2 linked regions of the Lytechinus pictus genome follow. The protein of the gene in region 1 purifies or fractionates together with the protein of each later gene. This does not show direct contact. Links are inferred from orthologs where the notes say so. Each region holds a gene or a part of one and is shown on either strand. Other genes may lie near its edges. The genes, in order: dynamin-binding protein-like and bridging integrator 3-like.

What was found.
Region 2: the proteins of dynamin-binding protein-like (region 1) and bridging integrator 3-like purify together in Homo sapiens (co-immunoprecipitation; 5 studies listed by BioGRID and IntAct, counting the BioPlex papers as one, with this or other methods). This does not show direct contact. The link is inferred for Lytechinus pictus from reciprocal best matches to the Homo sapiens genes DNMBP and BIN3.

The regions. Positions count from the first base shown.
Region 1 is NC_087250.1:26,929,790-26,942,871, reverse strand, and holds the start of dynamin-binding protein-like, read left to right. Parts: upstream 1-8,083; 5' UTR 8,084-8,097; coding exon 8,098-8,293; intron 8,294-10,959; coding exon 10,960-11,046; intron 11,047-12,174; coding exon 12,175-12,306; intron 12,307-13,082. UniProt on the Homo sapiens protein: Plays a critical role as a guanine nucleotide exchange factor (GEF) for CDC42 in several intracellular processes associated with the actin and microtubule cytoskeleton.
Region 2 is NC_087256.1:23,593,272-23,605,560, reverse strand, and holds the start of bridging integrator 3-like, read left to right. Parts: upstream 1-6,612; 5' UTR 6,613-6,753; coding exon 6,754-6,761; intron 6,762-10,898; coding exon 10,899-10,956; intron 10,957-11,814; coding exon 11,815-11,855; intron 11,856-12,289. Other genes in the region: 2-aminoethanethiol dioxygenase-like, read right to left, coding at 5,601-6,371. UniProt on the Homo sapiens protein: Involved in cytokinesis and septation where it has a role in the localization of F-actin.

The sequences.
Region 1 (13,082 bases):
CTGGTATTGGGGTCACAGATAATGGCTTGAAGTATCAATATTTTTTTTTAGTCAAAGTAGAAGGAATAATAGAGCATGTCTGTTGTAGACTCTAACAAGGATAGTCTCCTAGTCACTTTCAATATGGGGAAAGTGACAGTCTGTCAGCAACAAGTTGCTTGAACCTTGACACAAAAGGTTTAATTGCCAGACGAAGGCACTGATGCAAATGTTCACTGGTCAAGCAGGGGCGGGGGGGGGGGCAGCCCCCTCACTTTTTTTTCCAAAACCATGTACAAAAACGTAAAAATGACCATATGATTGTGATTTTTTGCATGGCCAATCCCCCCCCCCCCCACTTTGAAAACCGTTCCGCGGCCCTAGCCTGTCAAGGTACTAACTTCGGTTAGTTAGTTCTCTATAATGTTCATTGTGGAAAATGCACTTTCGCACCTGTATGTATAGATCCAAACATGGTGAGAACAGCGCTGGTCAACTAATAAGAAAGTAGATCGAACAGACAGAAAAGACTCCACTAAACTTTTAATTTGACTGCCATTATACGGTTAGGTCGACATGGATACACGATGTAATCATATTGAGCTATGTTTCATAGTGTGACTTAAAAGTGATTGAAAAATCCAGAGTCTCGCGGGCCGGATTGAGAAGCTCCACGGGCCGGATCCGGCCCGCGGGCCGTAGTTTGAGAACCCCTGATCTATAGGGTGGTGAGGCATATGAATTGATTGCATCGTGAATGATTGATGGGTTGACCATCTATAGGGTGGTGAGGCATATACATTGATTGCATCGTGAATGATTGATGGGTTGACCATCTATAGGGTGGTGAGGCATATACATTGATTGCATCGTGAATGATTGATGGGTTGACCATCTATAGGGTGGTGAGGCATATAAATTGATTGCATCGTGAATGATTGATGGGTTGACCATCTATAGGGTGGTGAGGCATATACATTGATTGCATCGTGAATGATTGATGGGTTGACCATCTATAGGGTGGTGAGGCATATAAATTGATTGCATCGTGAATGATTGATGGGTTGACAATCTATAGGGTGGTGAGGCATATACATTGATTGCATCGTGAATGATTGATGGGTTGACCATCTATAGGGTGGTGAGGCGTATACATTGATTGCATCGTGAATGATTGATGGGTTGACCATCTATAGGGTGGTGAGGCATATAAATTGATTGCATCGTGAATGATTGATGGGTTGACCATCTATAGGGTGGTGAGGCATATAAATTGATTGCATCGTGAATGATTGATGGGTTGACCATCTATAGGGTGGTGAGGCATATAAATTGATTGCATCGTGAATGATTGATGGGTTGACCATCTATAGGGTGGTGAGGCATATAAATTGATTGCATCGTGAATGATTGATGGGTTGACCATCTATAGGGTGGTGAGGCATATAAATTGATTGCATCGTGAATGATTGATGGGTTGACCATCTATAGGGTGGTGAGGCATATAAATTGATTGCATCGTGAATGATTGATGGGTTGACCATCTATAGGGTGGTGAGGCATATAAATTGATTGCATCGTGAATGATTGATGGGTTGACCATCTATAGGGTGGTGAGGCATATACATTGATTGCATCGTGAATGATTGATGGGTTGACCATCTATAGGGTGGTGAAGCATGTAAATTGATGGATCAACGACAATTTAATTTCACAGCTTTATCAAGAGGCTCTTTAATGGGATGAATGTCTTCTTGCCTATAATCCTCAAATTGGCATCAATTGTTAATAGCTTTCTACATAAATTTTCATGCTTATCATGAATAAATATATATGAGTTTATATGATAAAAAGGTACAATTATAAAGGTACCAAATTTTGGAACCTTGAACTTCAAGCCATGGATTTTTTTTATGTTAACATTTGAGAGTACATTGTAGCTCAATTCTAAGGCTAGTAATTTAAATGGACCAATGACATTTTTTATCTTTAGACTCCCTGGTGGAATGAATGTTTTCTTCATTCATTAATCTGTACCAGCTTCCATAGCATTATTAGCTTTTGATCCTCAAATTGGTAACCATACAGATTCATTTTTAACACTTTGAAAAGAAAAAAAAACATTATACATTATAACATGATAAGACATGGGGAAAGAAGTTAATTAAAAGTTGCCATGTATCATTTTACCCGTGATTTTTTTTTCATCATGCTTATTGAGATACAGTCATTAACGATTAATGCACCAAAGATAAATTGAAAGCTTCAATAATGACAGGCTACATGTATGGATGCCCTCTTTCTTGAGTAACAATAATAATATTTATAGGCATTTACATATTGCACCATCTATCTAGAAATAATCTATTCCGAGGTGCATTGTTTATTATTTTTACCCCAGCTTTTAATAGCTTGAGCTGCCTTTCAGCACTCAGTGCATTCAAGGAATTAATCCTGCCATCATTGCCATGTACATGTACACATTCACCTCACCTGGGTTGAGTGCAGCACAATGTGGATAAATTTCTTGCTGAAGGAAATTATGCCTTGGCTGGGATTCGAACCCACGACCCTCTGTTTCAAAGTCAGAAGACTAATTCACTGGGCCACAAAATGAAATTGTGCACAGTGTATTTTACATTTTGCATTCATTAGGAAACTTGAGTGAAACTTATCCCCAATCTGTAATTTTTAATAGATTGAAATTGAATGACAAATGATTTTAATACTGAAATGTATTATTGTTAATATATATATACAGGGTCGTTTCATTGTTTAGTTTGAACACATTGTTTTCAACAATTCCGTGTTTAACAAATGATACACGAGTCAACGTGAAACATTTCAAACAGAATATAAAAAAACATTGCTAAAGAGAAACCATTTGATTTGTTCCTTTGGTTTACATGTACACGATTAAAGACATCACACTATTAAAGTGGGGACCTACATGTAGCGTTGGTCACTAGTCACTACCCCCCCCCCCCCACCCCTTTTGAATACAATATAGGATTTGATCATTATACGTATACAGGTACACACAGAATTATTCACAGAATAATAATTGATGATTTTTTTTATAAAGCATACTAATCTGCACAAAGTGGAGATATACTGTCTTTTTTCTATTATTAGAAGTACAGGGTATGGAAGAAAGAATGAGATAACATAAAATGAATACAAACTAAATCTCTAGCTGGTTTAAAAGTAAAATATCATGTACATTTCAAATATATGAAATATTAAATTACATATATGTATAGATATTGGGCAATATATATAAGTATTGATAATTCAAAGCATTTTTTTTTTCAATTTTACTGTGTACATGTCATAACTTTGTACATTATGTGAATCATTGTTTAATCCTTTCCTCAGTGAAAGGGAGTACATTCCTTCCCTGCTCAGTGTGTTTAATACACATGTATTTGACCTCTACAAGTGGCCAGGCTAGCGCATTGGATTAGCCAGGCGTTATTAGAAGCAGTAGAGAAAACTGTTTGTATGCAAACTGAATGCGGCACTGGACGAATGAATCAATCAATATACATTTATGGTGAGCATGTAGAGATAGCCATGGAGCTTATAGGGGCTTCATCCACTGCACGTGTGTACTGATGAATGCTATGGCTTGATGTACTGTAATACAGTGAAACCAGTTTAGTATGAAATGAAACTTCCCAGTTCAATTGTACATTTATACCTTTTACAAAAAAAGAGAGACATTTCCATGATAAATGAATTAGAAAATAATGCAAAATAGTTGTTAATATCTTGTACGTATAGTGATGAATTGATACTGATGATGATTTCGATGATTGGTTTGATAACGATGAACGTGTACATATGTTTCATAAAGGTATGATTAGTAATTAGTACAGTGCAAATAACAATGATAAAAATAATGAATAAGTGACGTTTCGGGTTTCCATCCATTTGAGCGCTGAATGTAGCCTAATTGTCGGTGCCCTTTTTCCTCTGTAAAATGACGAAAAAATCCACTTCATAATTTGGAAATAATTTGTAATCCTTTAGATTTCTACAAAGCATTGGAATCACAGTAGGTCCATGGAATCACAACCCTCCTGATGCAGTGTGACGTCATTTTATTGAGGCAAAGTACTCAGCTGTCAAGGAGTGAATATGCAACTTTAAAACATTGCTGTACTATGTAGCCTTTTCACATTTGTCAATGTCACTTTTAGCTCTGGTCTGGATCTTTATAATGGATGATCTACTCTATGTGAACAACCCGTGTGAACAAAAGATACATTATCATACAAAGGGTGAAAGGAATTATATGTACATGTATGTGAACAACCCCTCTGATGACTGAATACATTATCAATTTATCATAATTGATGGTCAAATGTGAATGACCCCTTTGAACTCGGATATATCATAGAAAGGGTTAATCTGTTCATGTGAACAACCACTTGAGGAAAAGATACATAATCAGGAGGGTTGACCTGTTCATGTGAACAACCCTTTGAGGACAAGATACATTTTTATGAGGGATGATCTGTGCATCTGAACAACCCCTTGGAGGACATTATAGTGAGAGATGATTCACTGTAGCTGGGTTGTATATTAAAGCAGTGAGGGATGATCGTTGGATCTAATCTCATTCAGGGGCTCAACTAATCAATAAAGACTAATATCCTGCATGCATATATTGTGATAGAGGGAGGGATGGATAGGGAGAGAGGGAGGGATGGAGGGATAGAGGCTGGGTGAGGGAGTGATTGAGGGAGGGAGGGATGGAAGGAGGGACAGTGGTAAGGGTAGGTGAGGGAGTGATGGAGGGAGGGGTGGGTGGGGTGGGCAAGGGAGGGAGGAATGGAGGAAGGGATGGAGGGAGGGGTGGGTGAGGGATGAAGGGGGGGGAGGGTGTGAGGAGGGAGGGGTGGGTGAGGGAAGGTGGAATGGAGGGGTGGGTGGGTTGGTGGGTGAGGGAAGGAGGGAGGGAGGGATGAAGGGAGGGGAGGGTGAGAGATGGGAGCGAGGGAGGGATGAAGGGACAGTTGTGAGGGTTGGTGAGGGAGGGAGGGAGGGGTGGGTGAGAGGAGGGAGCGAGGGTGGGGTGGGTAAGGGAGGAAGTAAGTGAGAGATGGGAGCGAGGGAGGGATGAAGGGACAGTTGTGAGGGTTGGTGAGGGAGGGAGGGAGGGGTGGGTGAGAGGAGGGAGCGAGGGTGGGGTGGGTATTAAAGGGAGGTAGTAAGTGAGAGATGGGAGCGAGGGAGGGATGAAGGGACAGTGGTTAGGGTTGGTGAGGGAGGGAGGGAGGGAGGGGTGGGTGAGAGGAGGGAGCGAGGATGGGGTGGGTATTAAAGGGAGGTAGTAAGTGAGAGATGGGAGCGAGGGAGGGATGAAGGGACAGTTGTGAGGGTTGGTGAGGGAGGGAGGGAGGGGTGGGTGAGAGGAGGGAGCGAGGGTGGGGTGGGTATTAAAGGGAGGTAGTAAGTGAGAGATGGGAGCGAGGGAGGGATGAAGGGACAGTGGTTAGGGTTGGTGAGGGAGGGAGGGAGGGGTGGGTGAGAGGAGGGAGCGAGGGTGGGGTGGGTATTAAAGGGAGGTAGTAAGTGAGAGATGGGAGCGAGGGAGGGATGAAGGGACAGTTGTGAGGGTTGGTGAGGGAGGGAGGGAGGGGTGGGTGAGAGGAGGGAGCGAGGGTGGGGTGGGTATTAAAGGGAGGTAGTAAGTGAGAGATGGGAGCGAGGGAGGGATGAAGGGACAGTTGTGAGGGTTGGTGAGGGAGGGAGGGAGGGGTGGGTGAGAGGAGGGAGCGAGGGTGGGGTGGGTATTAAAGGGAGGTAGTAAGTGAGAGATGGGAGCGAGGGAGGGATGAAGGGACAGTTGTGAGGGTTGGTGAGGGAGGGAGGGAGGGGTGGGTGAGAGGAGGGAGCGAGGGTGGGGTGGGTATTAAAGGGAGGTAGTAAGTGAGAGATGGGAGCGAGGGAGGGATGAAGGGACAGTTGTGAGGGTTGGTGAGGGAGGGAGGGAGGGGTGGGTGAGAGGAGGGAGCGAGGGTGGGGTGGGTATTAAAGGGAGGTAGTAAGTGAGAGATGGGAGCGAGGGAGGGATGAAGGGACAGTGGTTAGGGTTGTGAGGGAGGGAGGGAGGGGTGGGTGAGTGGAGGGAGCGAGGGTGGGGTGGGTAAGGGAGGTAGTAAGTGAAAGATGGGAGAGAGGGAGGGATGGAAGGAGGGACAGTGGTTAGGGTTGGTGAGGGAGGGAGGGAGGGAGGGGTGGGTGAGCTAAAGAGAAGAGTGAATACATATGAACTGTGTGTAGATGGCAAGGGTGAAGGGAGTGTTGGTGACGTGAAAATGACGACATCTCGAAATTAATCACATTCTATTTCGACATACTTGTACAGGCCTATTATATGTGAAAACCTGAGGTGATAATCATAAATAGGACGAATAGAAAATGAATGATGAACAAGTATATTGTGTAGTGGTAATGAGAGCAATAATTTTGTTAGGAATACATTTAGGCTACCACAAACGAATTATAAATTGGCTATATGTGATCAAGTGCTACATAGGCTACATGTTTGTATCTGGTAGGTTTCCAAATTGGATTAGCACTAGAGCAGTATTGAATTACTGAGTACACATAGAGATCATGCTTATTTGCAATCATATCACACAGGAACATTCTAATATGAACTTAAATACCTACATGTACAGTATGTATTTACTGTACATGTATATGATTATTTCACATTTCATTGATTATATTATACAGTATGCTATGTAAGGTTGAGTGTTAATCCAAGTTAATTGCTTGATTACAATTTCCTGTGTGTTTATAAGACATGTGATAGCCAAGTGTCATCTGATTCTAATTGTCACTTTCATGTTTAATAAAGGTTTCTAAGCAGGATCGAGTTGAAGTCAGCATGTCTTTTTAGTTGAAAAAATAATTCCTTGTCAAAACTTTCCTCTAATACCCCTTTCATAAACCCATCCTCCAATTAGCCGCCTAATAGTAATGCGGATAATTCAATAAGAATTGCGTTCACAAACTCCGAAAATAATCCGCACTATTTTTACGAGCGCCCGTCCTGAAAAAGGCGGATAATCGTCATGACAACTGCACACGCGCCCTCCGATGCGGTTGTGTTGGAAAAGGGTGACCTTATGACCGCACCATGGCAATTATCCGCATTATTTGAAAATGCGTTCATAAATTCAAAATCTGGTCCCGATGCCGCTATTATGCGGATAATTGCAGCATCAAAATAATGCGGATAACTCTGGTCCTCCTCCGATTTTACGACCAAATTATGCTGCTATTAGCCGCATAATTGGGTTTATAAAAGGGGTATAACTCTCTATCAAATAATAGTAAACATTTACATTATTATTTTTTTATTCATTTTCTTGATTTTTTTCTCACAATGTATTTGCTTAAACATCATTATCGTCATTTTTACATTTGTTTTATTTATTTACATGTTTATATATGTATTTATTTATTTATTTGTGTATTATTTTTGTTGGGGGATACAGGGCTATTTGTGCTCTTTTGTTTTTGTGGGAGAGGGGAGAACTTCCCCCTTGCCTTGGCTATATTGCACTGTAAACACTAATCCTACATTAGGGTCTAGATAATCTTTATTAATTTATTATCGTCAGGGGAATGTCAGGGACACAGTTTATTATAGGACATGCACTCTCTTAGTTTACATTGTCCTTCAAATGGTTATGATCAAACCAGAATGATTCACTTTGAGTATAGTTTATATACATAATAACAATAATATTTTTTTGCTCATATTGTGCTTAACAATAACACTTTCTTTATCAGAAATCTCTCGGTGCTTTGCAGTAATGCAGTATAATTATCCTCATTTTTATTTTACTAGAGCAGCTGTCTAGATACACACTCTGCATTTGAAGAAATAAATTTCTATCAGGTACCCATTCACCTCGCCTGTGTTCAGTGCAACACAATGTGGATAAATTTCTTGCTGAAGGAAAACACACCATGGGTTGGAATAGAACCCACGTCCCTCAGATCCAAGATGAGTCATAACCACTAGACCAGGATACCCCTATATAAAACCTTTATTCTCTTTATTTTGTTGTAGGTGCCATAGCGACCATCATGGAGGTGGGCTCGCGAGTGGTGGCCATCTTTGATTTTGAGACGACGGAGCCCGGAGAGTTGGCGTTGAAAGCGGGAGATGAGGTTGATATTACGTCGAGAATCAATGAGAACTGGATAGCTGGGACATGTAATGGAAAGACTGGTACCTTCCCTGCTAACTTTGTCAAGCCTGTTGATGAAGCAAGCTCAAACGGTGAGTTTTATCATCATAACCTCATCATCAGTATCATCATTGTCATCATCATCAGCACCATCATCATCACCATCATCACCACCACCATCATCATCATCATCATCATCATCGTCATCACCACCATCATCGTCATCACCACCACCATCGTCATCACCATCATCATCATCACCACCACCATCATTATCATCATCATCATCATCATCTTAAATTACTGTCAATATTTAGTGGCAGTCTTTGGCGGAGGCACAAGTGGTGCATGCCGCCTATATATATTTTGAGAATTGCCCATGGAATTTAGATGTCAATTTTGGTACTCATTACAAAAATTGTCATCTTTGCCCCCTCCATTTTCAAATTTGCTATTGCCCCCCCCCCCCCAACTCTTCATGTATTTCAAAATCCTGGATTGTCATTATCTCAAGATGGGGGCACATGGTATCAACGCCCCTGATATATTTTTAGAAATTCCAATTGAATTTACATATTATTGATATTGGTATACATGTACATTATGAAAATTATTATCTTCCCTCCCCCACCCTTTCAAATTTGCTATTTGCAGTCCAGGGGGAAAACTACACGGGCTGGGGGAAAACTACATGGGCTGGGGGCAATTTTGCCCCTCCCCTCCAAAAAAAAGAAATTGTCAAAAGATCCTTGGAAACTAAAAATGGGGCCCTGAGAAATGTCAATTCATTGCTAAGTTAAGCTTATCCAGTAGGTTGTGAAAATCTGAAGATTCTTTGTCATGACACACCTTTAAGACTCCCCGTAAAGGGCCGTAAGGAAGATGTTTTTCTTTTTATGGGGGGGGGTGGGGGTGGGTGGGTGGTGGTGTTGTCACTGTTGTGTGTACATAAGACCCTTTTTACTTTTTGATTCAATGATATAATCATTATTTTATTTTAATTTACTAGGATTTACACCGTACAAATATTTTTCTGGTTTTTGTCTCGCCTGCATAGCAGAGCAAGACTATAGGCGCCGCTTTTCCGACGGCGGCGCCGGCGGCGGCGTCAACATCAAATCTTAACCTAAGGTTAAGTTTTTGAAATGACATCATAACTTAAAAAGTATATGGACCTAGTTCATGAAACTTAGGCATAATGTTAATCAAGTATTAGTGAACATCCTGCTCGAGTTTCAGGTCACGTGACCAAGGTCAAAGGTCATTTAGGGTCAATGAACTTTGGTCAAGTTGAGGGTATTTGTTGAATTACTATCATAACTTTGAAAATTTATGGATCTAGTCCATGAAACTTGGACATAAGGTTAATCAAGTATTAGTGAACATCCTGCCTGAGTTTCAGGTCACATGACCAAGGTCAAAGGTAATTTAGGGTCAATGAACTTTGGCCAAGTTGGGGGTATTTGTTGAATTACCATCATAACTTTGATAATTTATGGATTTAGTTCATGAAACTTGGACATTAGGTTAATCAAGTACCACTGAATATCCCCTGTGAGTTTCAGGTCACAAAACCAAGTCAAAGGTCAGTTAAGGTCAATAAACTTAGGCCATGTTGGGGTAATTGTTGAAGTGCCATCATAACTTTGAAACTTTGGATAGAGTGAATGAAATGTGGACATGGGTGTAGTTGACAGTCTTAAGTCTCCGTTCAAATGTCATTTATGGTCAATGAACGTGGTATTATGTCATTATATGAATGATGTTTTTGTGAATGATTATTTTATAGTAATTTTCAAAGTTAGCACTGCTGCTATATTAAATTGCGTAATGCAGGCGAGACTGCCAGAGGCATTCCACTTGTTTATATACTTTTTTGTGATTTCTGTTTTTTAATTTAATATATAACATGTTAATTGTCATTTCTGTATATGTATATTAATTGTATATTGATTTTGATCTGGAGAGATTCAATCTATCGTTTAAAATGACCTGAATTGGTTTTATCACCATGGATCTTGGCTTCATCAAGACGGAGATCATAACCGAGATCATAACCGAGATCATAACCGAGATCATAACCGAGATCATAACCGAGATCATATAGCTCTATTAAAAAGAGTCACCTAATTTTCATTCTTATGCAGGTAGAGTGAAAAGTAAACAACTTTTATAATTAAAGCACTGTTAGCATTCAAAGTTAAAATGGCTCTACAAAAATGAATACTATTCAGGGTGTTACATAAGCACTTGCCCGGGGCAAGTAAAAGTTATAGTCGGGCAAGTGTTTTGAAGTAAAGACCAAAACTACTTGCCCGAATTGGGCAAGCAAAATTCTCACAGTAGAATTACCAAAATTAGGGTCAATATGATATACCGACCCTAAATTTGGTCATGGCGGGCAAGATGAAATCACTTTTTAAAAAGAAATGCAAGAACAAGGTACATCAGTTCATGTCAAAAGAGAAAAAAAAGTAAATTTTTTTTGCAAGAACAAGGTACATCAGTTCATGTCAAAAGAGAAAAAAAGGTCAATGGTTTCTAGGACCATAATATTTTCTTTTGAAGAAGTAAAACTTTTTTCAAGGATTTTTTTGGGCAAATGAAATAGATTTTCAGGCAAGTATATTCCAACTATTTACACATTTACTTGCCCAACAGGCCAAGTTCATCTAAAAAGTTATGTAGCACCCTGCTATTGATTCTTATTTTAAAGGACTTGCTTTTATTTTTTGTTCATTTATATTTATATGTGCAGTATCAGAGAAGAAATCCACTTCATATCAAGTCACAGCAGTACAGGATTATGAGAGCAGCACAGAGGGCGATCTCTGCTTCAAAACAGGTGAAATTAATTAGTAGAAATATTATTTTTGCTTGATTATGGGGGAGGGTTATAAATCTCAATATTACACTATCTTGCGTTGCCATGAAATTTCATGAGGCATAGTCTGAACAATGTAAACCCTATTGGGTACTGGGTCTGCCGAGTCGACACCGATATACGTATACTTGTATATATCGGTGTCGCTTCGGCAGACTACATGTACATGTACTGTTAGTCTTAACCAAGGAATAAAACCAAGTCATGAGGACTTGTCAAAAGGCTTTGAATGATGATTGATGATTGAAAATTGGTGATTTTTCATTTATTAATGATTAGATTTTCGCAATGTTGCCAGTTTTTAGCATACATGTGTAATAATGATAATAATAGTGATAATAATAATAATTGGCATTCATATTGAGCCATCCATTGAGAAATAATCTATTCTGAGGTGCATTGTTACTATTATTATTACCCCGGCTTTAGCTCAAGCAGCCTTTCAGCGCTCAGTCCATTTCAAGGAATTAATCCTGCCTGGTATCCATTCACCTCACCTGGGTTGAGTGCAGCACAAAGTGGGTTAATTGTTGCTGAAGGAAAGCACGCCATGGCTGGGATTCAAACCCACAAACCTCAGATCGAGAAACGAGAGTCCTAACCACTAGACCACAACGCCCCCACATAGGTCTGAATTCACAAAGGTGGTTTTGAAAACCCACGGTTGAATCCTTGGTTTATGCAGAGTTCCTGTATAAATTACGCTTACTTTAGCGCGTATCGGGCGCGTGTATAACAAGTGTCCAATGCTGATGCACGCTTTTGTCACAGTGCGCCAAATTGACGCCTGTTACCATGGTTGGATACGCTATTTTATTCATGAGTCAACTGTTTGAAGAGTGGACTCATTAATTCAAACAGTGGACTCGTGAATAAAGTAGCGTGGATAACCACGGCATCAGGCATCAATTTGGCGCACTGACAAAAGCGCGCATCAGCATTGGAATTTTTTAATGTACGCGGTAAAATAAGCGTACATGTACTTTATACAGGAAATCTGCATAAATCATGGACTCAACCGCGGGTTTTCAAAATCACCTATGTGAATTCGGGCCATAGTGATAATGCAATGATTTTTTTTTTGTATAGGTGAGGTAATAAGTGTTTCACATCAGATAGATGAGCATTGGTTGGAAGGATCATTAGGTGGTAGATCAGGGATATTTCCAGTCAGTTACGTGAGTAAGGACATCTCTCACACTAACCAACCAGCAATACAAGGTACGTCTATCTCCTCTCATCAAATTGCTTTTCATTAAAGGTCAAGTCCACCCCCGCAAAATTTTGATTTGAATAAGTAGAGAAAGATCAAACTAGCATAACACTGAAAATTTCATCAAAATCTGATGTAAAATAAGAAAGTTATGGCACTTTGAAGTTTCGCTTATTTTCACAAAACAGTGATATGCACAACTCAGCAACATGCAAATGAGTCAGTCAATGATGTCCATCACTCACCATTTCTTTTGTTTTTTATTGTTTGAATTATACAATATTTCATTTTTTTTACAGATTTGACCATAGAGACTGACTTTACTGAACCATATGGTATTAAACAATGCTAATTCCACATGTTCAGGGAGGCTTTAATCATTGTTTCACTTGACAATGAGGAGAAAATTATAATCTCATAATAAAATACAAAAGAAATAGTGAGTAGATGACGTCATCAGTCGCCTCATTTGCATAGCGACCAGGATGTGCATATACATGTAACTGTTTTGTGAAATTAAGCGAAATTTAAAATGTCATACCTTTCTTATTTTACATCCAATTTTGACGAAATTTTCAGTGTTATGCTTGTTGGATTTTTCTCTCTTTATTCAAATAATTTTTTGTCAGGGTGGATTTGTCCTTTAAGGGAGAAATATGAAAGACATCTCTTATAACTAAACTCATTTTGTTGCAGAAAGCAATTCTTTCATGAGAAAGACATCAGTGTTGATTTGACTGTATCGTCATATATGAAGGTTTAGTTAGTTTTAATACTCAAACTG
Region 2 (12,289 bases), on another chromosome or scaffold:
ATAATTTGTTATTGTCCATTCTGCTCATAATATGATTATATGGTTAAAATATGTTTCGGTTTGTCATATTTTTCAAGCATTTTTTTGCTTACTATGGCAATCCATCTTCTGCTATTAATTTTATGCTAAATGATTTATACCTGACTTATTGTCAATATATGTTTGTTACATCTGTGTTATATTATATTGTTATGTAGAAGAAAAATAAATTAAAATCAAATCAAATCTAAATCAAATCTATTTTGAAAGAATATCGACACATAATCTGCCAAGCAAAAATAAGCATCTGTAATACAAACACTGTGCTTTTTACGCAAACATAATGTAATTTCAAATTACCATTTATATACATTGACTGAAGTTTGAAGTTTTTTATTCATTGGTGAAGAAAAAAAAACTAATAAAGTTGAGGTCGGAGTCTATTTGAAGGAGCGTGCAGCGCTTGTATAATATATAACCTTATCTGCATACCTGCCTGCCTTACAAAAAACGAATGAAACAAATAATGAATGTTAATCAGGGAGTAGCCTAGACAGGCCTATTTGGCTCTTGCTACTCCCTCACATCCCATTCATTATCTTATGTATTTTTTTTTTGTCATTTTGTCATAATTTTACAATATTCATTATAATATTCATTATTCACTCCATTACTATTGAATCATATTGATTGATTTGATTTGATCTCGATGTATTGTATTTTATATGCTTTTAGAGATGTGAAATAAATGAATTTGAATTTGGAATCTGTAAGACAAAATATTATATGTGTTTTTGCATTATTCCAACCCGCCCCCATTTTCCCCGCCCATACAATAAAGAGTGATGTGGCTAACATATAGTATTACGCACTTATGTAATGTTAAAGTTTTACAATTTTGGGTTTAAAATACTGATTCACACAGTGTCAGATGTTCTTACCAATTTGGTTCAAATATGATTTTTTTTTTTTTAAATATCTTTATACATAATGTATGCAGTTATATCTTTAATAAACAAATGGTTTCTTAAAGTGTAACAAATTTCGAAATTTGATTATTCCTCAGCCATTCTAAACAGTTAAATTCACAATCAACATTTTAGTCTAAATATATACGGGGAGGGGGCAGCATTCGATTTTAGCGTTATAGTTATACATGTTTTATGTACACAGGAGCATTCAATTTAAAGACTATTCAGTGTACACGATAACAGTCATGTACTATTCTGATGACTCTGTCTGACATAAGAATATATTTATTTAAGCATTTAGAGTGCGCCGTCTATCGAGTTTCCTATTCAGAGGCGCAGAAGGAATAATTACAAAGGGGAGAGGATGTTATTTGAAATATGATGAGAATAGATATGTCTTAAGGTTGGCTTTGAATGGCTCTATATAGACTTGGCATTGCGTATTGTTGATGATAATTATTAATAATCACTGCACATCTAAAGGCCACCTGACGCTATGCTATGTAGGCTATGGAGGGGGTGACAGAGGTGTGCAGCTCTCATGGATTGCCAGATAGTTAGAGAGCAAAAATGAATAAAAGAGAGAAAAAAGAAAAGCGGAAGAAAAGAGGGAAAGGAAGAAATGGGTGGTCGGTGAGGGGGGGGGGGGTCTGGGTCATGTAACAATCCAAAATGACACAAAACTGACATCACCTTTAATTCAATGAAGTACTCACATGAAAATGATGATCTGTCGGTTATTCACGACCAAGAAATGATAATTATGTTCAGTATATCTCATGAGTGGCTATTACAAAGTGAAATATAGGCCTTTATTGATGTTTTGTGGCATTCTTTTCTCATCATGCTCATGGTGGCTGCCTCAACTAGGTGTATATTGATAAGCGCTTGTTTATTCAGATATGTTTTATATATGATACTAAATCTTAATCTATTCCAAAATTTTATTTAAAAATCCCACTTTTATTTCAACGTAGAATATCATTAGAATAAGGGAGTTTTTCACTATAAATCGAGTTGACGTAAGGTATTATTAATTTTTGTTTCAAGATCGTTGTTTTATATCTACCACGAGGGGGCGTTATTTCATCTTCTTCAATTAGCCCTCTCGTCTTGTCTACTACCCTTTTTACACACGCTAAAATTTCCTTAACCCCGTACTATAGGTGGGGCTAAATTGCCATTTAGCCCCACCTATAGTACGGGGTTAAGCTTAGCCCACTTTCTTTTTACACAGCATTTTTGCAAAGTGGGCTAACCCCACCTTTAGTACGGGATTATTTGGCCCTGCAAAAAAGCAGGGTTATCCCAGCAATTGCGGTGCTAAGAGCGATAGTACGGGGTTAAGATCGCTAGTGTAAAACGAAAGTGGGCTAAGCTTAACCCCGTACTATAGGTGGGGCTAAATGGCAATTTAGCCCCACCTATAGTACGGGGTTAAGGAAATTTTAGCGTGTGTAAAAAGGTACGAGTGAATGAGCTACCACTAGTCCGGGGTTAGCGAGTTTCGTGTGTGAAAAGCAAGCATTCCTTATCCGGGGTTAGCGATAACAATTTGGCATGTGTGAAAAGGAAAAAAAATAGTACGGGGTTAAGGATAGTACGGGGTTAGCGATAGTCCGGGGTTAAGAAAATCCTGTGTAAAAAGGGTATACCTGTTTACAGTGAATAAATATAAGTTCGCACCGGGAGTTCGTCGGCATCAGATAATTCAGAATGGCACTCATTGAGAATGGAGCAATACCCGGTGCTTAGATGAGAAGGGGATAACGAATGATTGATTTATACACTTGATAGAAGACAAAGAAGGGGGTAGGCCGGAAACTACATTTACTCTGTGCCGGGGTATTAAGAGAACTCATTAATTAGTTTTATCACGGCATGGCAAACTTTTACTTCTTATTGTTTTTCCTACAACCCTCTTTTATTTCCCCTTCTTACTCATTATTTTGTTTACTATTGAAAAATCATTGTTGGAAAGTCGCCCACTGCGACACCCCCTCCCGCCCCCACACAGGGTACGCGGAACGAATAACATGTGGGGGCTGAACTTTCAGACTGCCATCTTTCACGATTTTTTAACATTGCTGTACTGAAAATAACGTAGGAGTACAGCCCCTTTCCCCACCCAATTTGGTTCCGCGGCCCTTGTCCCGTGGCGCGACAAATGTGTGTAACCCGGGCCGTATCCAAGTCGACTACTGGGGTGGAACATGGACATCGAGAAATCTCAGGACACTTTCATTTCTTACTAACCCTCGGGCTAACCCTATGGCCTATTTGCATCTTGAAGACTTTTACCGAGGGACTATATTCCGCATCTTCCGTTTGATTGTTTTTGGTTTAGGACCCACTGTCTTTTATTCGGTCTATTCTTTCCAACGTCGAGAACATATCTAGGAGGGGGGGGGGGGTTGTTCCACTCCGGGGTTCCACTTTGCAAAACAAGGGGATTTCTTCAGCAAGAAATGGCGTGTCAGCCCCACCCCCCCCCCCAGAAAAAAAAAGAAATTACACACAAACAAAAGTTATTACTATCTAGGCACTGCTAGGAGATGACACTTCCTATTAATTCCATAGCCATTCACGTATCCCCTTTATGGTTCCATCAAACTGTGGTTTTTTTTTTTTAATGAAGGTCTTCCAATTGCGCGAAAGTCTTCAGTTAGTATATCTACACACTGTATTCGTGATCTGGAATCTGTGCATGGCATACATTTAAAGCATTTACCCGGCGAATTTACTGAAATGTCACTGCAACAAAATGATAATAGCAATGGTAGCAAATTAAAAACCTCCAGCAACGTGCCATCTGGTCGTAAAGGGATAAATAAAAAAGTCACAGGGGTAAGGAATTACACTGAGAATGGACATGATATGCAGGCCTATGTGCAATAGTGCTTGATTCTATTCTTTCGTTTAATAGGAAATCCACAATGCGATTTTACAACATGTATAGTATAAAAACATGCATAACAATTTTCTTTAAGAAAAAACATGAATAAAGGAATATATAAACCGGCATATAAATCTGGAATGACATAAACACGAATCATTGTATGTAATATGCTCTACATGGCATCAACAATAAAAACACATTTTCAAAGTAAATGGAATCACATTCACTTTCAATATACTCACATTTTCATAACAAGACATAATAAACGCGAACATTTTATGAATATACACCTATCACATTTCTCCAATCAGAAATACTTTAACAACTAAATTTTCCTTTTTTCCTGCTACTCCCTCTCTTTCTCTCTCCATTTTTGTGTCTCACCCTCTTCACCAAGAAATTCGAAAATCATTATAAAAAGTATTTTTGGTATGACTTTGAGTCCCTTTTATTATATGATATGTACATGTAAATGTATTTTCACAAAAAAAATGCATAAAATTTACACTGTAGATCTCGATGAAGCAATTCTTGGTTTGCAGCACAGTTATAAGTACATTTACTAAGTAACCTTAAAAAAAGAACTGGGTAATATTCTTCTCCCAATAAAACTTCCTTAATTAACTGGCAGTAATGAAGTAAAATAATATGATAAATTAAATTTTTAAGCGCAGCAACTACATGAATATACTCTGTTGCACTTTGGTTACTCCTATTGCTTATACAATATACTACATGTACACACAAAAATGGATGATTCAGACATACATGTACTTTAATGCTTCCCTACACAGATGGGTCTTCAAGAATGTTTTGAAAACAGGTACAGATTGAGCCATTCTAATTGTAAGGGGGAGTTGGTTCTATACATGTATTTTATTAACACACAAATACACAATCTATGGCCCGAATTCACAAAGGTCGGCTAAAGTTATACCGGGATTAAATTTAGCCCGGGGTAAACTAATACCCGGGTATAAAGTTAGTCCACCGCGCTATTCACAAACGGTGGACTAACTAATCCATGGACTAACTTTAGCACCCGGGGTTAAATCCTGGGGTAAAATTTAACCCACGGCTGAGTTATACCCCGGTGCTAACTTTAGTCCATGGATTAAAATGACGTCAAATGACGCGTTTTATACACCGGGTATAACTTTAGTCCACCTTTGTGAATTCGGGCCTATGAGTTTTAAAACAAAATCTAAGAGAAACTTGCCAAACTCCTACATCAACAGGGGCACTTGTGAAAGGGTATATTTCTCACAATCATGAAAATGTAGACAAGACAAACTTATTGTGCATTTAAATGAGTTGCATTGGAAGGGCTAATACTTGAGAAATATGATTGAGGACACTTTACTGAAAGATCATGCTTTCTACATTTCATTACAATTTAATTTTCTTTTTCTTCTTCCAGAGCAAGTGCTGCTTCAAGATGATGGAGATAAACACAATGGTTGTGTGTATGTATGTATCTTGCCTCTTGAGGACTTTTAATATTTTGATTTACAATCATATATTTTATTCATTGATATTCAGTCATGAATGAACCCTTCATGCATCAGATCAACTACATTACCAAGTTCTTCATACTAAACAATCTGTAAGGCATGACCAAGAGATGTTATATATTGTACATTTACATTTCTCACATGTTAAATGTAACAATCACAATAAAATAATACATGATTTCAGGTGAGATAAATGCACTCCAGTTAATAATGAAACACAAAGTTTTGAAATGGTTTTCATGATGGTATCAATACTTCTGGTCCAGGATATTCTACTTCATCACACCAGAAGTCAGGAGGCTGAGAGATAGACATCAACCAATCAGGATCAGAGTCTGAAAAGGATTCCAAAGATTTTAATTCTTTGAAATAGTAGCAGTCTCTTCCAATGACCGGGTCGTAGGGAGGTGAAAGTATGTCTAGAAAGGCTGCAGGTCCACCCACTGATTCTAAGCTGTGGTAGTTCCCTTCTCTTGGGGTTAGCAGCACCGCTTCCGAAGATGGTGTGAAGCGCTGATCGGTTCCCAGTCGGGTAGGAACCAACAAATGCTTTCTCGGAGGCTCGTTTTCCGGAAAGCCTTCAAACTTGGGCATTGGAAATTTAGTCCAGTCCTCGGTGATGGTGTTGAATGTCCTTACGGAAATATCACCATAGAGCACTTTGAGGAGGCCATACATTCCGGGATGGTTATGCAGAGGGATGCGACACCCATCCCGTATGATGAACACGCCCATTGTCATAACACCATCCTCGAAGATGTGCATGTATCCTACCGGGGCGCGGTGGGGAGAGTCTCCCCCAGCTGCCGTCTCAAAAGCAGCTGGATTTGGTGGCAGTCTCTTTTGTTCTATCACAGCTCGGCTGGCGTCGATGTTCAGATCAGAAGCTCGAATGTTTGACATTGTTTCTTGTAGAGCTTTCAGATGATCTTTGTTCATATTTCTGTCCTTGAAAAACAGGCGAAATATGTCTCTAGCTTGTCGTGATAATTTTTGTAGGGATGCCATCGTTAGTTTTAATGCAACAAAAACAAAGGTGGAGATGTCGATTTAAGTCTCAGTGAAATAAGAATTACAATTTAGAAGAAATATATTTCTGTTCGAAAATTCCCTTTTTTCAATTTAAAAAAAATATTTTACCGGATTTTTATTTTTATAATGACTTATTGGATAAAATTTCAAAGAAATAACTACATTTTGGGATAATTATTGTCTAGTACTAAAAGCGCTATCAAATTGGATCGAATGAATTTTGTCAATAGTCCGATAATTTTTTTTTTGTGAATAAGGAGTGTCACGGACTAGCTGCCCCAAAACGACATAAATTGTTCATATTTCCAGCTAAATAGAACATCGTGTCTGTTTGATAAGGTCTACTGTATTAACCATTATGAGCTGGTGAGTAGAAATATTGAAATTTCATGTTTTCTTTTCATTTTAGAGCAGTGTTATTTAGTTGATGTTTTCTTACGTGATTTTGATCATGTGGGACCGAAGTGAAAAATGGGTGTTGATGGGTGGGTGTACTCCCGGATGTCTCTCCCGGATGGGTGGGTGTACTCCGGGGGGGGGGGGGGGGCACTCAGTATATAATGCATAGTGGGCATGTGTCGCGGAGGGGACCCCCATTTTTACACTCAAATTTCCGTTCCAAGGCATAGCATTTTTTGTCGGCCATTCCGTGCTTTTGGGAACTGGTAGTGCCATGGTAGCCAAATTGAACTTGTCCTCCTTTCACCACGATATGTAAAGAATCTTCGCTTCGGCGATTTTGAAAAGAACTGATGCGAGAGGCTTTGTTTACGATGCGAAGCTCCTCACACAACTGGTTACCTCTTTCCTCATGCGATGTTTAACGGGCTCAGTTTGCCATGGGTGGACAAGTTTTCAGATGACCTCGACGATTCCGCGGAATTATAATCTTTGTAATTATCCATCTACCCCGCATTTCCCTGCTCTTCAAGACCACTCTGCCACTTTCACAATGTTGACAAAAACTTATATTACAAAATCGATTCACTAAATAAATCACAAACAAGATATATCTGGGGATGAATCACTTTAGTAAACTGTATTATCTACTCGTGAAAATGGGAACCAGCATAGCTGGTTCCCATTTTCACGAGTAGATAAAGACAGTTTACTAGTGAAATTTATTTCGTCAGAGTCATCACTGACGAAATAAATCTCATTGGCAATCTCTCTCTATATCTACTCTTCAAAATGGGAACCATCTAAGAAAATTCTCCTGAATTATAAATGCTGGTTCCCATTTTCACGAGTAGATAAAGACAGTTTATTAATCAGATTTATTTCGTCAGAGAATCATCACTAACGAAATAAATATTACTAGTAATCTGTCTTTATCTACTCGCTGAAATGGGAACCAGCGTGTACAACTCTATGTGGAGTTTTCCATAGAGTTGTACGCGCTGGTTCCCATTTTGGCGAGTAGAGTAAAGTTGTTTATTAAATCTAATCGCCAAAATTGGAACCATCTAAGAAAATGATTATGAATTATACATGTTGGTTCCCATTTTCACGAGTAGATAAAGACAATTTGTTAGATTTATTTCGTCAGAATCATCACTGACGAAATAAATCTCATTGGCATTCTCTCTCTCTATATCTACTCTTCAAAATGGGAACCATCTAAGAAAATTCTTCTGAATTATAATGGTTCCCATTTTCACGAGTAGATAAAGACAGTTTATTAATCAGCTTTATTTCGTCAGAGAATCATCACTAACGAAATAAATATCACTAGTAATCTGTCTTTATCTACTCGCTGAAATGGGAACCAGCGTGTACAACTCTATTGAGAATTTTCCACGCTGGTTCCCATTTTGGCGAGTAGATTAAACTAGTTTACTCTACTCGCTAAAATGGGAACCAGTGTGTACAACTCTATGGGGAGTTTTCCACGCTGGTTCCCATTTTAGCGAGTAGAGAAAAGACGGCGACGAAATCAATCTTTCTGATCTAAGCTCTTTGAAGGATTACTTTATCTAGAATCAGCGCGCCAGCTGCGGTGAAGCAGTGAACAAGCTCGAAAAGGTAGGTAGGTCATGTCTTGTCGTGAAAAAGTGTCCTTTGGAAATTAGGAACTGGTTCCCAATTTCACGATAATGCCTTTTTTGTCTTATTGAGAAAAAGAACAAAGAAAGCCGCTCCAAAGCATAGGCATAGCATTTTCTCCTTATCGAGGAAAAAGAAGAAAGAAATCTGCTCCAAAGCTTCGCATATTTTCCGTTACGCCGTTCCAGCCGTATTGATATGCTACAGTGAGCCGCAATTTTGGTGAAAAGCGGCAGCAAAGCGCTGTCCGACCATCGCCTCTGCGCTAGGGTACCCGGCGCCCGTGCAGCTGCGCTAGCAGCATGCACGTATAGGCCCGTTCCATATATAGGGATGAATACGCACTCACAGGCAGGCAACCCGTTCCAAGGACCCCCGTTTTCACAAACATTTGTAGTTCCGAAGCCCGTTCCGAGGACCCTCCTTTTACAATAAGCCCGCTCCAAGGCCCCCCGTTTTTTCGTCTCGCCCGCGGCACAGACCTACTACTTTTTTGGTCGAATACCCCGCCCCCTGGGGGTGTACTAGAGCTAGATCTAGATCTAAGACTAAGCTTCGTTGAATATATGCACAACCAAGGAGGTACATGTAGTTGCTCCAACCCATCCCCCAGTACTACATAAAGGGAGCAGTCGCGCGTGCCCCAGGCTGTGGTACATTTTACCACACTATGTTGAACGGGAATGGATGATCGATCATGCTGCCTAGCAAAGCATACCTAACTACCTCGAGCGATGTTCGTGCAGGCTCCACTTCACTACGCTCCACCTACCCGAACATCGATACGGTGAGCCAGTTCGGATATACCGAGTCACAATCATGTTCATCGTAAAAATCAAAGAAAAAAAAAAAAAAACGAGAAAGATGAATAACTTAATATCTTACTCTACACCCATATTTCACTTTATGTCCATCCTCCGGTTATCCTCAAAATTGGTGAGTTTGGGCCAGTATCTTTTTCCTCACACGTATTATTCACGGCTGATTTCAAAACATTGCATGCGATCACGATCGATCTGACATTTTTAAAAAATTAAGCATTTTTCCCCAAGAACAAGAGAAAATAAGCAAAACATTGCCAACCAACCTTATTTCACCCCACAGGGAATCCTAACAAAAAACAAAGTTATATTGGTCATTGAATGAGTGGGTAGAGTAAAAGATTAATATAACTTTGTATGTAGGATGAGTAGTTAGATCTAACGTTCTGTAAAGATGAGGATTTATTGTTAGTGTTAATTAGAATTGGATGTCTGAGTTTCTTCTAGATTCAGTAAACTTCTTACTGGAAGAAATGTTGCTGTCCAGCAAATGTCATGAACATTTTCATCCTACACAATGGCTTGCATTCTGAGCTCGGGTTTAAAGTTGTAATTAAAGGAGAATGAAACCCTTGAAACCAGCTGAATCCATATCAAAGAGAAAAATCAAAGAAACATATTGTTGAAAGTTTGAGGAAGATTGAATGAATAATAAGAAAGTTATGAGCATTTGAATGTCGAGATCACTAATGCCATGTAGATCCTCCCATTGGCAATGCGACCAAGATCTGTGATGTCACACACGTACAACTCCCTCATTACTTTAGTACTTATTTCACTTATATTCTCACTTTTATAGAGTCTATCACAAGGTGAGGTGTTCTCTTTATGAGAGGACAAGTACAGAGGTTTCACAATATTATATCATTGATGAATCGTTTGTCATATGATTAGAATGAGCAAAAAGAGATGTTTTGGGGTATATTTTCAGTGTCCAAAAGGGGAGAGTTGTTCATCTGTGACATCATTGATCTTGGTCGCATTGCCAATGGGAGGATCTCCATAGCATTAGTGATCTCGACATTCAAATGCTCATAACTCTTATATTGCTAGTCCTATTTTACTCAAACTTTTGTTGATCTTATTCTTTGATTTTTCTGCTTTCACAAAAGCTAACTTGCTCCAAGAGTTTCATTCTCCTTTAACTATGGAGTGCCAATTGGGCACAAATCTCTTTTAGTACATGTTCAATTTATTAAGTCTTAAGACACTCAAATCATGTATAACTGTCTAAGAATGATAACTGAAATGAAAGCAAAGAGAAACAAAATAGTAGTATATTAAGAAATATACACTAGCAAAATTTTTAAAAAGTTTTTGGCTCACTATAATTTTAGCACAGTCAGAGTTAGACCATGGTCTGAGTTAAACCTGACTTCAGAATATGGGCTAATGTGTCTAGTGGGGTGTTGCAAGAAACTTGCAATTGATCGCAAGCCCCAAAATCAATTGAAATGCATGCAAATTTGCAATCAATTGATTATCTCCTTCTTGCATCAACAAGTATAAATTTATTTGCTTTAGTTTAAATTGATCTATCACTTGTAAATTTCCATCTGAAATTTGCAATTGATGGCAAATATTTTCTTGCAACACCCCCTAAATCTTTTCTTCCTCTTTCCCCTGTTTTATACAGGAACTTTTTCAGTAGATTTACTGGGGCTTCTCCAAAGAAGACTGTGCTAACTAGAGAGGTGAGTCGCTTGCTATTAAACCCATATATACATACTCAATTCTTTAGTACCCAACACAGGGGTCAACCCTTTATGGTTAAAGGTTAAAGAAAGAAGTTGCAGCACACAATTATTTCATGAGAAATTCATTGAAATCAAGGTAAATTGTTGTCACCATGTTTTCATAGATCAGGATATATACATTGAAATAAACATAACTTTGTGAAATCATGAAATCTTAGTTGAAACCGATAATTCGGATGATCATTAACACAAAAAGGCATGTGTGGGAGAGTGTATTAGTATTGCATGGAATTTTTTTTACATTTTATGGAATTATGTGCTAATTTGGCTAATTTCTCAGCAATTACACCCTTTTTCAAGAGCCATTTGGCACTTATTTCTTATTTTGTATATGTATACAAGCACTTGGGTGGTTATTTTATTGGATTCTGTTTGAACTCATTTTGAAATTGTTACCACAACTGGCATCGATAGCTCTGAAGTACAAATGCACACTGATTAAATGTGACTCCTTGCTTTCTCAATATTTCACTTACAAAATATGTGTATATCAATGTTTTCAGCATGAGGATTATGAGAACATGTGCCTATTTCAGTTGTAGAGCTCTTGCCTCAAAATGATAATGGAAATTCACATTTATTGCTCTGGAAAGTCAGGGAATTTTGAAATGTGTAAGTGTATGAACCCTTTGAAGAGTGTAGACCTCTTGCCCTCATGTATCTTGTTTAACCGTCAGAAAATCAGGTTCAGTTTATGGTATACATGAGTGCATTGTGCCCCTTTTCAGGACTAGTTTGATTCCAGTGAAAAATGAAAAGTTTACATTGTTTTCATCCCCTTCCCTTTGTTTGCAGGAGGAAAAGGATTTTGAAACTGAAGTGAATAAAATTGAAGTGTAAGTATCCTATTGTTTTAAGAATATCTAAGCTTCTTTTTGTTTGTTTTATTTTTAAAAACCTTTTTTCATGTTATGAGCCACTGAGTTGTGGTTTTCTAAACTGTCATGGAAATACATGAATGATAGCATTAATGATGATTGATGATGTTGATGATGTTGATGATGATTATTATTATGATGATGATGATGATGATGGATGATGATGATGATGGATGATGATTATGATGCTGTTGATGATGGTGATGATGTTGATGATGATGATGATGATGATGATGATGATGATGATGATGATGATGATGATGGTGATATTTGCTCTAGCAATAGATGCTTTAGTGGAAAATCAGCACATCATGCTATAAAATCGACACAATTATTCATGCTTCCAAGTAATCATGACATTATTTTGAATTACATATAAAAGAACTCTTCCA